Macaca mulatta: one gene and its partner. The protein of the gene in region 1 interacts with the protein of each later gene in a biochemical or structural test. Links are inferred from orthologs where the notes say so. Each region holds a gene or a part of one and is shown in the gene's direction. Other genes may lie near its edges.

The links.
Region 2: of the proteins of ABL1 (region 1) and RIN1, one has a biochemical effect on the other in vitro, tested with the Homo sapiens proteins (2 studies listed by BioGRID and IntAct, with this or other methods). The link is inferred for Macaca mulatta from reciprocal best matches to the Homo sapiens genes ABL1 and RIN1.

What each region holds. Positions count from the first base shown.
Region 1 is NC_133420.1:16,869,862-16,874,153, reverse strand, and holds the start of ABL1 (tyrosine-protein kinase ABL1), read left to right. Parts: upstream 1-1,304; 5' UTR 1,305-2,086; coding exon of another isoform or gene 2,087-2,185; 5' UTR 2,186-2,792; coding exon 2,793-2,928; exon of another isoform or gene 2,929-4,292. Other genes in the region: uncharacterized protein LOC144335005, read left to right, coding at 2,087-2,185. UniProt on the Homo sapiens protein: Non-receptor tyrosine-protein kinase that plays a role in many key processes linked to cell growth and survival such as cytoskeleton remodeling in response to extracellular stimuli, cell motility and adhesion, receptor endocytosis, autophagy, DNA damage response and apoptosis.
Region 2 is NC_133419.1:8,088,029-8,092,313, forward strand, and holds the start of RIN1 (ras and Rab interactor 1), read left to right. Parts: upstream 1-1,305; 5' UTR 1,306-1,338; coding exon 1,339-1,424; exon of another isoform or gene 1,425-1,450; intron 1,451-1,582; coding exon 1,583-1,763; intron 1,764-1,865; coding exon 1,866-1,980; intron 1,981-2,059; coding exon 2,060-2,132; intron 2,133-2,243; coding exon 2,244-2,335; intron 2,336-2,490; coding exon 2,491-3,228; intron 3,229-3,520; coding exon 3,521-3,826; intron 3,827-4,086; coding exon 4,087-4,218; intron 4,219-4,285. UniProt on the Homo sapiens protein: Ras effector protein, which may serve as an inhibitory modulator of neuronal plasticity in aversive memory formation. Can affect Ras signaling at different levels. First, by competing with RAF1 protein for binding to activated Ras.

The sequences.
Region 1 (4,292 bases):
CTACTTGGGAGGCTGAGGCAGGATAATCGCTTGAACCCGGGAGGTGAAAGTTGCAGTGAGCTGAAATCCTGCTACTGCACCCCAGCCTGGGTGACAAGAGCAAAACTCCATCTGAAAAAAAAAAAAAAAAAAAAAAAAGAAAGAAATGGGATTCCTGTCAGATGCATCCCTCTGGGGAGACATGGAGAGCCAATAGGAACCAAGGTGCTTTTTAGTCGCAGAACATGGATTCTATCAGGTGTGGGTTTGGCACATCTAGGTCATTGGTTCTGTAGACTTGCTAAACCCAACCATCTGGGCATTTTCTCAGCTAATATAGAGGATGTTTTCATGTGAATACGTGTTCACCTGTGAAATGTTTATAGTCTTAAAGATTCGTTCCAGGGCAAACATCTGATAGCGCCTGGCAAACCCAACAAATGGCTTTTCTGTAATGAGTAAGCCTCCTAATGCCCAAATAAATAGTTGAATTCGTTAGCAACATGTCGGATGTTTTCCCTATTTCTGTATGTTTCTTCGCTAGTTGTTTTTTTTTGTTGTTGTTGTTGTTGTTTTTTGAGACGGAGTTTTGCTCTTGTTGCCCAGGCTAGAGTGCAATGGTGTGATCTCAGCTCACCGCAACCTCTGCCTCCTGGGTTCAAGCGATTCTCCTGCCTCAACGTCCTGAGGCTGGTATTACAGGCATGCACCACCACGCCCGGCTCATTTTGTATTTTCAGTAGAGAAGGGGTTTCTCCATGTTGGTCAGGCTGGTCTCGAACTCCCGACCTCAGGTGATCCGCTCGCCTCGACCTCCCAAAGTGCTGGGATTACAGGCGTGGGCCACCGCGCCCCGTCCGCTAGTTCTAATATTTATGCTTTTTGGAGGGTGAAGGGGTTGAGAGGCACCAAAAACCTTGGCTTCTAGGAGCAAGCCACATTTTCTCCCTTAGAGACTGAAGGAAATCATCCGATTCCGGTTCCAGGAAAATCCAATCCGCAGTTTTTCCCTCGCTTTGTCCCGGTCTTACTACTCGCGCCGGGGAGACGCGGTCCAGCCGACGCTCGGCCGGCGAGAGTCCACCAGGTCCCAGGAGGGCGGGGCGAGGCCCAGCGGTCGGGGTCCGGGCCAGGAGTCTCGGTGCGGGAGGACTCGCGCGGGTGCCGTGGGACCACAACTCCCGGGACGCACCGCGTACTGCGCCGAACACGGTTGGCTGGGAGATCCAGCCCTACTGCCCCCATTGGCCAATGGGACGGGGGAAAGAGGCCCGACCCGGATTCTCGGAGGCCAATGACAATACAGAGGAGGCGGGTGCTTCCTTATCACTCACCTTGCGCTCAAAGAAGCCACATTTAAAAGGTCGTGCCGGGCCCGGCTTTCGCAGGCAGTGGGACCAGAGCCGGGACGCGCGGCGGTGTCCCGGGAAAGCGGCCCTGAGGGCATCCGGGTCCCCTTGAGGCGGGCTCCGGACGTCGTCGTGGGCGGGGCGGAAGGCGGGGCCTGGCCTCGTTGTGGAGCGGCTCGTAATCCATCATGGCGGCCGCGGGGGTCGGTGTCTGTGCCTGAGCAGCGCTGGAGCCGGAGCCGGTTCCCGGGTGCTGCGACTGAGGAGCCCTTCCGCTGTCCACGGCCCCTACCGGCGGGGGGCGGCTGGGTTCCTCGGCGGAGCTCTGGGGATGTGATTGCCTGAGGGCGGTGGTGGTGTCAGCGTCCGGGGCCGGGGGAGAGGGTGTCTCAGGCAGAGACCCCCGGGCTTGGGGCAGCTGAGGCGGCCGGGCCTCCTCTACACGGCGTCCGCCTTTCGCTGTCTGGGCCGCGAGAGTCCTTCGTCCCTTACAGCTCCACCCCGGCTTTGGGACACTGGGGGTCTGTTACCCTCAGCTTGGGACACCCCGTTTTCCGAGGCGTGGAAGAGCGTCGCCCTGGAGTAAGCCGCCCGTGCCGCGCCCCGGCAGCCTCCCTCAGCCCCGAGCCGCCCCTTGTTCCGGATCCCGGCCCCAACTTTGGCCACAGAGCCTCTCATTCAAATCCCTCCCTGCTGTCAAGGGGTCTCCCCTTCCCCAAGGTGGCTCCCGCGAGCCTCTAATGCCCTGACTTCTTCCAATGTCACCTACGGCCCCCTTAGTCTCAGGTCAGCCAAAAACTTTAATGCAAAGGAAAAGTCTGGATTGGTTCCACAGGCCTTTTAAAAAGCGGACTTAAAAGTTGCTGGCAATGCATTCCTTTTCGTCAGAGTCGAGGGCAAACTCGCTGAAATCTGGGTGACCCGTGTCCTTTTCCGGAGAGCAGAGCAGAGAAGCGAGAGCGGCCACTAGTTCGGCAGGAAATTTGTTGGAAGATGAAGAAGCTAAGATAGGAGGTTGGTGACTTCCACAGGAAAAGTTCTGGAGGAGTAGCCAAAGACGATCAGCGTTTCCTTTATATGTGGGAATTGAAATGACTAGCATTATTGACCCTTTTCAGCATCCCCTGTGAATATTTCTGCTTAGGTTTTTCTTTTTGAAAAGAAATTGTTATTCAGCCCGTTAAAAAAAAAAAAAAGTCAAGAAACTTTTGGGTAACACTGCAATTACATTACTTAAAATTGATAAACTGCGAAAATAATTGGAACTCCTGCTTGCAAGTGTCAACCTAAAAAAAGTGCTTCCTTTTGTTATGGAAGAGGTCTTTCTCTGATTGACTTCAATTGCTGACTTGTGGAGATGCAGCGAATGTGAAATCCTGCGTATATGCCATTTGCCTCTACGCTCTCTGACCGTTCTGGAAGATCGTGAACCCTCTTCTGGAAAGGGGTACCCATTATTACTTTATGGGGCAGCAGCCTGGAAAAGTTCTTGGGGACCAAAGAAGGCCAAGCTTGCCTGCCCTGCATTTTATCAAAGGAGCAGGGAAGAAGGAATCATCGAGGCATGGGGGTCCACACTGCAATGTTTTTGTGGAACATGGTGAGTGCTTTTAAAATTTCTGCTCATTATTTTCCTCATGCGTTCATCTTAGGCCTTCAAGGAACTTTGAATAATAGTACTTGCGACAGTTCCTTCCAATTCCACTTAATACATTTGTTACTTTAGTTATCTCTCAAGTTTCTGGTGAAACTTACTTTGTATAAGAAAAAGTTACTTCGTGAGTTCGGCTTTATTCAGAATCTATTTGAGTTGCTTATTTCTTGCCTGCTTCCTCTGCGAATTCACTGTTGACCTTGGACAAGCCATTTTACTGTTCCAGGGCTTCAGTTTCCTGAGGGGCTGGACTTCAGTTGTTTCTTAGGATGCATGGTTCTATGATTCTGCTCTCACCGAAGTCAAGGGCTCTTCTGACATGCATGGATTCTTTACTGCTTTGTCTACAGAGAGCTTTTATCATATTCTCAAAGTGGTTTGTTTTTCTGGTAAAGTTAAGAATCATAGATACTGGTTGATGCTAATATCCTTGACCTTTTCCATCATAAGTGGGACTTGAAAATACTCACTTTGGAGCCATGTGGGAAAAATCAAGTGGGGAGGCAGCATTCCTTATTAATTTTAGATACACAGCTTCTGTCTTACCTTCCATAGGAGTAATAATCCCTTCCTCGTTGATGAAGCTTTCATCCTCTCTTCTCCCTGTTTAGAGTGACATTTGGGCCAATAAAAGTTGTCTTTGACATTTTTATGAACATATTTGGCATTTGAGTGCTGACAGCACATTTTATGTTGTTCATGTCCAGTAATTCTGTGTGAAGTTAAAGCTAAGGGTCGGCTTACACTAATGTCTATAACCAATTAATTAGGGTTACTGTTTGTACTGTTGCAGCCTGCCATTTTTCAGATTGTGTCCTTTATATTAAAAAATCAATTGAGCCCACCTATCCTATAAGCAAACGTATCAAGTGTGCCAGTGGCTTATAGTTTGAAATTCATTCAGAAATACTTCTTAACATTGGGTGACTGCAATCAACAAAGGCTTCTGTTGGATGAACTTGCATTTGACGGTTGAAGTTTTACTTTCTTACAAGAAAATACTCACTTCATCTAAATAAATCTGGGTGCTTGGATTTTACTTTGCCTTGAAACATTAATTCTATTTTAGCTTTGTTTTTAGGCAAGCCAATATGGTCATGTGTTATGATGGCTCCCAAATTTAGGATTTAAAAAGTGAATTATTTACATTTTGACTTGTGATGATCATGCACCTTACATAGTGAAAATTGGTACAGACTTTTTGGAGAGCTTTGGCGGAACTTATCAGAATTTGAAATGTATGTGCCAGTGACCCAGTAATCTCATTCCGGGAAGCTGGTATAGAAAGCAGTGTAGTTCCCTACGTGTCC
Region 2 (4,285 bases), on another chromosome or scaffold:
ACTCCGCTGGCACTGGCCTGGACTCCTCCTCTGCCCTCCTCGAGGCCTGCACAGCTGTGGCTGTGGAGCCGACCTGGCCAGGCAAGGCTGCTCTCTCCATCCCTGAGCCGCCTGCCACCTCCCGCTCCTGAAGATCTGCCTCTTGGGGCTCCCCTGACAGAGAAGACAGCTGAAGTCAAAGCCACATCCTCTTGCTGACCTTGGATGCAGGCTCTCCGGCCTCAGGGCCAGGGAGCCAGGCCCCACTGTGCAGGAACTCTGAGTCAGACGTGATATCTAGGGGGGCTGTCCACCCTGGCTGGGGCTGGAGGCAAGATGCCAGGCCCCCCAGGTTTTCTCAGGGCAGTTCTTGGTGTCTGCCTCTCAGATTTCAAGGACTAGAATTAAAACCTTTCCTGGGATTCTGGTGTGCCCCGTGTATGTGTGATTTACCTTGCAAGAGAATCAGGGCTTCTGTGGGGAGCACCTGAACCAGGCTGACTTCTGAGGTGCCTGCAGATTGCCACTCCTTGCACTGCCCAGCAGAGGCTGGAGCACTGTGCGTGGGGCCACACTGGGGAGGGGGAGGTGGGTGCTGGGCTGCCTGGCACTGGGCAGAGAACATATGGTGCCAGCGGAGTGCCTCGGGTGGGGAGGATGGGTGCGTGTGCTTGAAGCCTGGGTCATGTCTGCACCTGTCCCAGTTGCCTGGCAGATTGGCAAGGCAGGCTGGCAGAGCCTGCATGCGTAGGAGGCAGCCGGCAGCAGCACCATGTGCTAACGACCTCACAGCCAGACTCCCCCTGGTTAGTGCTGAGTGTCAGAACCACCCCCAGAACCTCAGTTAAGCAAATAGGTTGGTTTCCATGGAGACGTGGCATATTTTCTCCATGGCAACCTAAAATCCTAAAACCCATGTTCAGGAATGAGTCATCTATGGACAGTAGAGGGTGCTCTCCCACAAGGCTGACCTGAGGCCAGGGGCAGATGAGCAACTGACCACAGACCCAGAGGTGCCCCCAGAGTGTGGCTGGGGCCTGCGGGGACTGAGTCGGCCGTTTAACCACTTCCCGCCCACCTGTGCAATTTGAGGAGCTGGTGAGGCTGCAGGAGGCCCTGTGTGGAGGTGGCACCCCCCAGCTGGGGCCCTCAGAGCAGGGCTAGCACGGAGGGGATCCCTGACCCCCGAAGCAGGGTCCAGAACAGAGGAGGCAGGCACTGGCCAGGCGGGGTGGACACACAAGAGTTAACAGGCGGGTGTGACAGGCGGACCGCCCTCAGGAAGTGTTACTCACTGGGGATGTGCGTGCCTTGCCTTGGGGTTGGATTCTCTTCCTGAAGCCGAAGGAGCTCCCAGCCATGGAAAGCCCTGGAGAGTCAGGCACGGGCCCTCCGGGAGCCCCCAGCCCATCCAGCTTCACTCCTGGGCACCTGGAGACAGAAAAGTTAGTGAAGTTGGCAGGGCAGCCAGGTGGGGCAGGGAGGGGCTGCGAGAAGAGGGTCTATCTGGGGACGGAGAAGGTGGGAAACCTGGGAGCGGGGAAGAGGAGAGCAAGGGTCCCAGCCCCTGGCTCCCTGCTCAGATCTGGATGCCCGCCCTCAGGCCAGCCCAGGACCCACTGTATGACGTGCCCAATGCCAGCGGCGGGCAGGCAGGCGGGCCACAGCGGCCGGGACGCGTTGTGAGCCTGCGGGAGCGCCTGCTGCTCACCCGGCCTGTGTGGCTGCAGCTGCAAGCCAACGCAGCCGCGGCACTGCACGTGCTGAGGACCGAGCCCCCGGGGGTGAGTCTTGCCCCCAACCTCCAGGGACTGGCCAGCCAGGGGTGGGAGGGAGAAGGGTGGGATGCCAAGGTCCTGAGCTGCCTGAGCCCTATCCACTTGCAGACGTTCCTCGTGCGGAAATCTAACACCCGACAGTGCCAGGCCCTGTGCATGCGACTGCCCGAAGCCAGCGGCCCCTCCTTCGTCTCCAGCCACTACATCCTGGAGAGCCCTGGCGGTGAGGGGCTGGCCTGGCAGGAAGGGGCTGGAAGGAGGGAGGTTCCCTAGAGAAGCACCTCACTTCCCTCCTCTCTCAGGCGTCTCCTTGGAGGGCTCGGAGCTCATGTTCCCAGACCTAGTCCAGCTCATCTGTGCCTACTGCCACACCCGGTGAGTCTGCCTGCAGGGTGCCCTGTGTCCACGGGCCCTGCTCCTTGGGACAGCCCATCCTCCCCACCCCCTTCGGCCCTCACTCCCTTCTGCTCCCCTCTCTGGCCTCAGGGACATCCTTCTCCTCCCGCTGCAGCTCCCCAGAGCCATCCACCGTGCAGCCACCCACAAAGAGCTGGAGGCCATCTCCCATCTGGGCATTGGTAAGAGCTCCTTGCCACCCATTGCACAGATGAAAAAGCTGAGGCTGAGGGGAGGGGAAGGCTCGCAGCACACGGCCCGAAGCCCATGCCTTTCCTTGCTTGGGAAACTTCCCCTAACCAATCCTGGAGGCCCCAGTTGGTTTCTTGTTCCCTAGAGTTCTGGAGCTCCTCCCTCAACATCAAGGCTCAGCGGGGCCCGGCTGGAGGCCCAGTGTTGCCCCAGCTGAAGGCCCGGTCCCCTCAAGAGCTGGACCAGGGCACCGGAGCCGCCTTGTGCTTCTTCAACCCCCTGTTCCCGGGGGACCTGGGGCCCACCAAGCGGGAGAAATTCAAGAGAAGCTTCAAAGTGCGCGTGTCCACAGAGACTTCCAGCCCCCTGTCTCCACCTGCCGTGCCGCCTCCCCCCGTCCCTGTGTTGCCAGGGGCAGTCCCCAGCCAGACAGAGCGGCTGCCCCCTTGCCAGTTGCTGCGGAGGGAGAGTTCAGTGGGGTACCGCGTGCCAGCAGGCGGTGACCCTAGCCTTCCGCCTATGCCCTCCCTCCAGGAGGTGGACTGCGGCTCCCCCAGCAGCTCCGAGGAGGAGGGGGCGCCAGGGTCCCGGGGGAGCCCAGCGACCTCACCCCACCTGGGCCGCCGGCGGCCTCTGCTTCGGTCCATGAGTGCCGCCTTCTGCTCCCTACTGGCGCCGGAGCGGCAGGTGGGCCGGGCCGCGGCGGCACTGATGCAGGACCGACACACAGCCGCAGGCCAGCTGGTGCAGGACCTACTGACCCAGGTGCGGGCCGGGCCTGAGCCCCAGGAGCTGCAGGGCATCCGTCAGGCACTGAGCCGGGCCCGGGCCATGCTGAGCGTGGAGCTGGGCCCTGAGAAGCTGCTGCCGCCTAAAAGGCTGGGTGAGGCTCCGTCTCTCCATAGCTCCAGCACTGCCCCATCCGACCCTCTGCTCCCCTCCACAGCGCCAGCCTGTCTGATTCTGTTCTGCTGCTTTACAAACCCACCCTGTCTTACCACTGTTCGAGAGAGTTCCATCCTCTCTCTCCCCAAACTCTTCTGTCTCACCCAGGCTACCTCCTCCTGCTTTCCTTGCCTCTCCTCTCCGATTCTACCCCTGCTCCCTTCTCCCCTGGCCTCTGTCCCCCATCTCCCCAGTCTTCCCCTGACCCCTCCCTGCCCCTCCTCTGGCAGAACATGTCCTGGAGAAGTCATTGCATCGCTCTGTGCTCAAGCCTCTCCGGCCCATCCTGGCAGCCCGCGTGCGGCGCCGGCTTGCCGCAGACGGCTCCCTGGGCCGCCTAGCTGAGGGCCTCCGCCTGGCCCGGGCCCAGGGTCCCGGAGCTTTTGGGTCCCACCTGAGCCTGCCCTCCCCAGTAGAGATGGAGCAGGTGCGCCAGAAGTTGCTGCAGCTGCTCCGCACCTACTCACCCAGCGCCCAGGTGAAGCGGCTCCTGCAGGCCTGCAAGCTGCTCTACATGGCCCTGAGGACCCAGGAGGGTATGTCTCTGCCACCACCTCACCCTGCCCTGCCCCTCTGAGTTGGAGGTGGGACCCCCAGTGGCAGGTCCCCAGGACCCTGGAATGGCCCTGCGGGAGACAATGAGCCCACCCTCCCATCTTGCAGATTGCGAAACTGAGGCCCAGAGAGCAGTGCGTTGTCTCCGAAGCCCTGCCATGGTTGCTAGGCCATGGGGAGGGGTCACTGCCTAAAGCAAGGACTGCACCTGAAGCTTCTTCCTCTCACCATGTCCCCACAGGGGAGGACGCGGGTGCTGACGAGTTCCTGCCTCTGCTGAGCCTCGTCTTGGCCCACTGTGACCTTCCTGAGCTGCTGCTGGAGGCCGAGTACATGTCAGAGCTGCTGGAGCCCAGCCTGCTCACCGGAGAGGGTGAGGGACCCCCACCCACTTCCCTGCCTGGGTGGGCCCTGAATAAGCAGGGAAGGGGAGAAGGGAT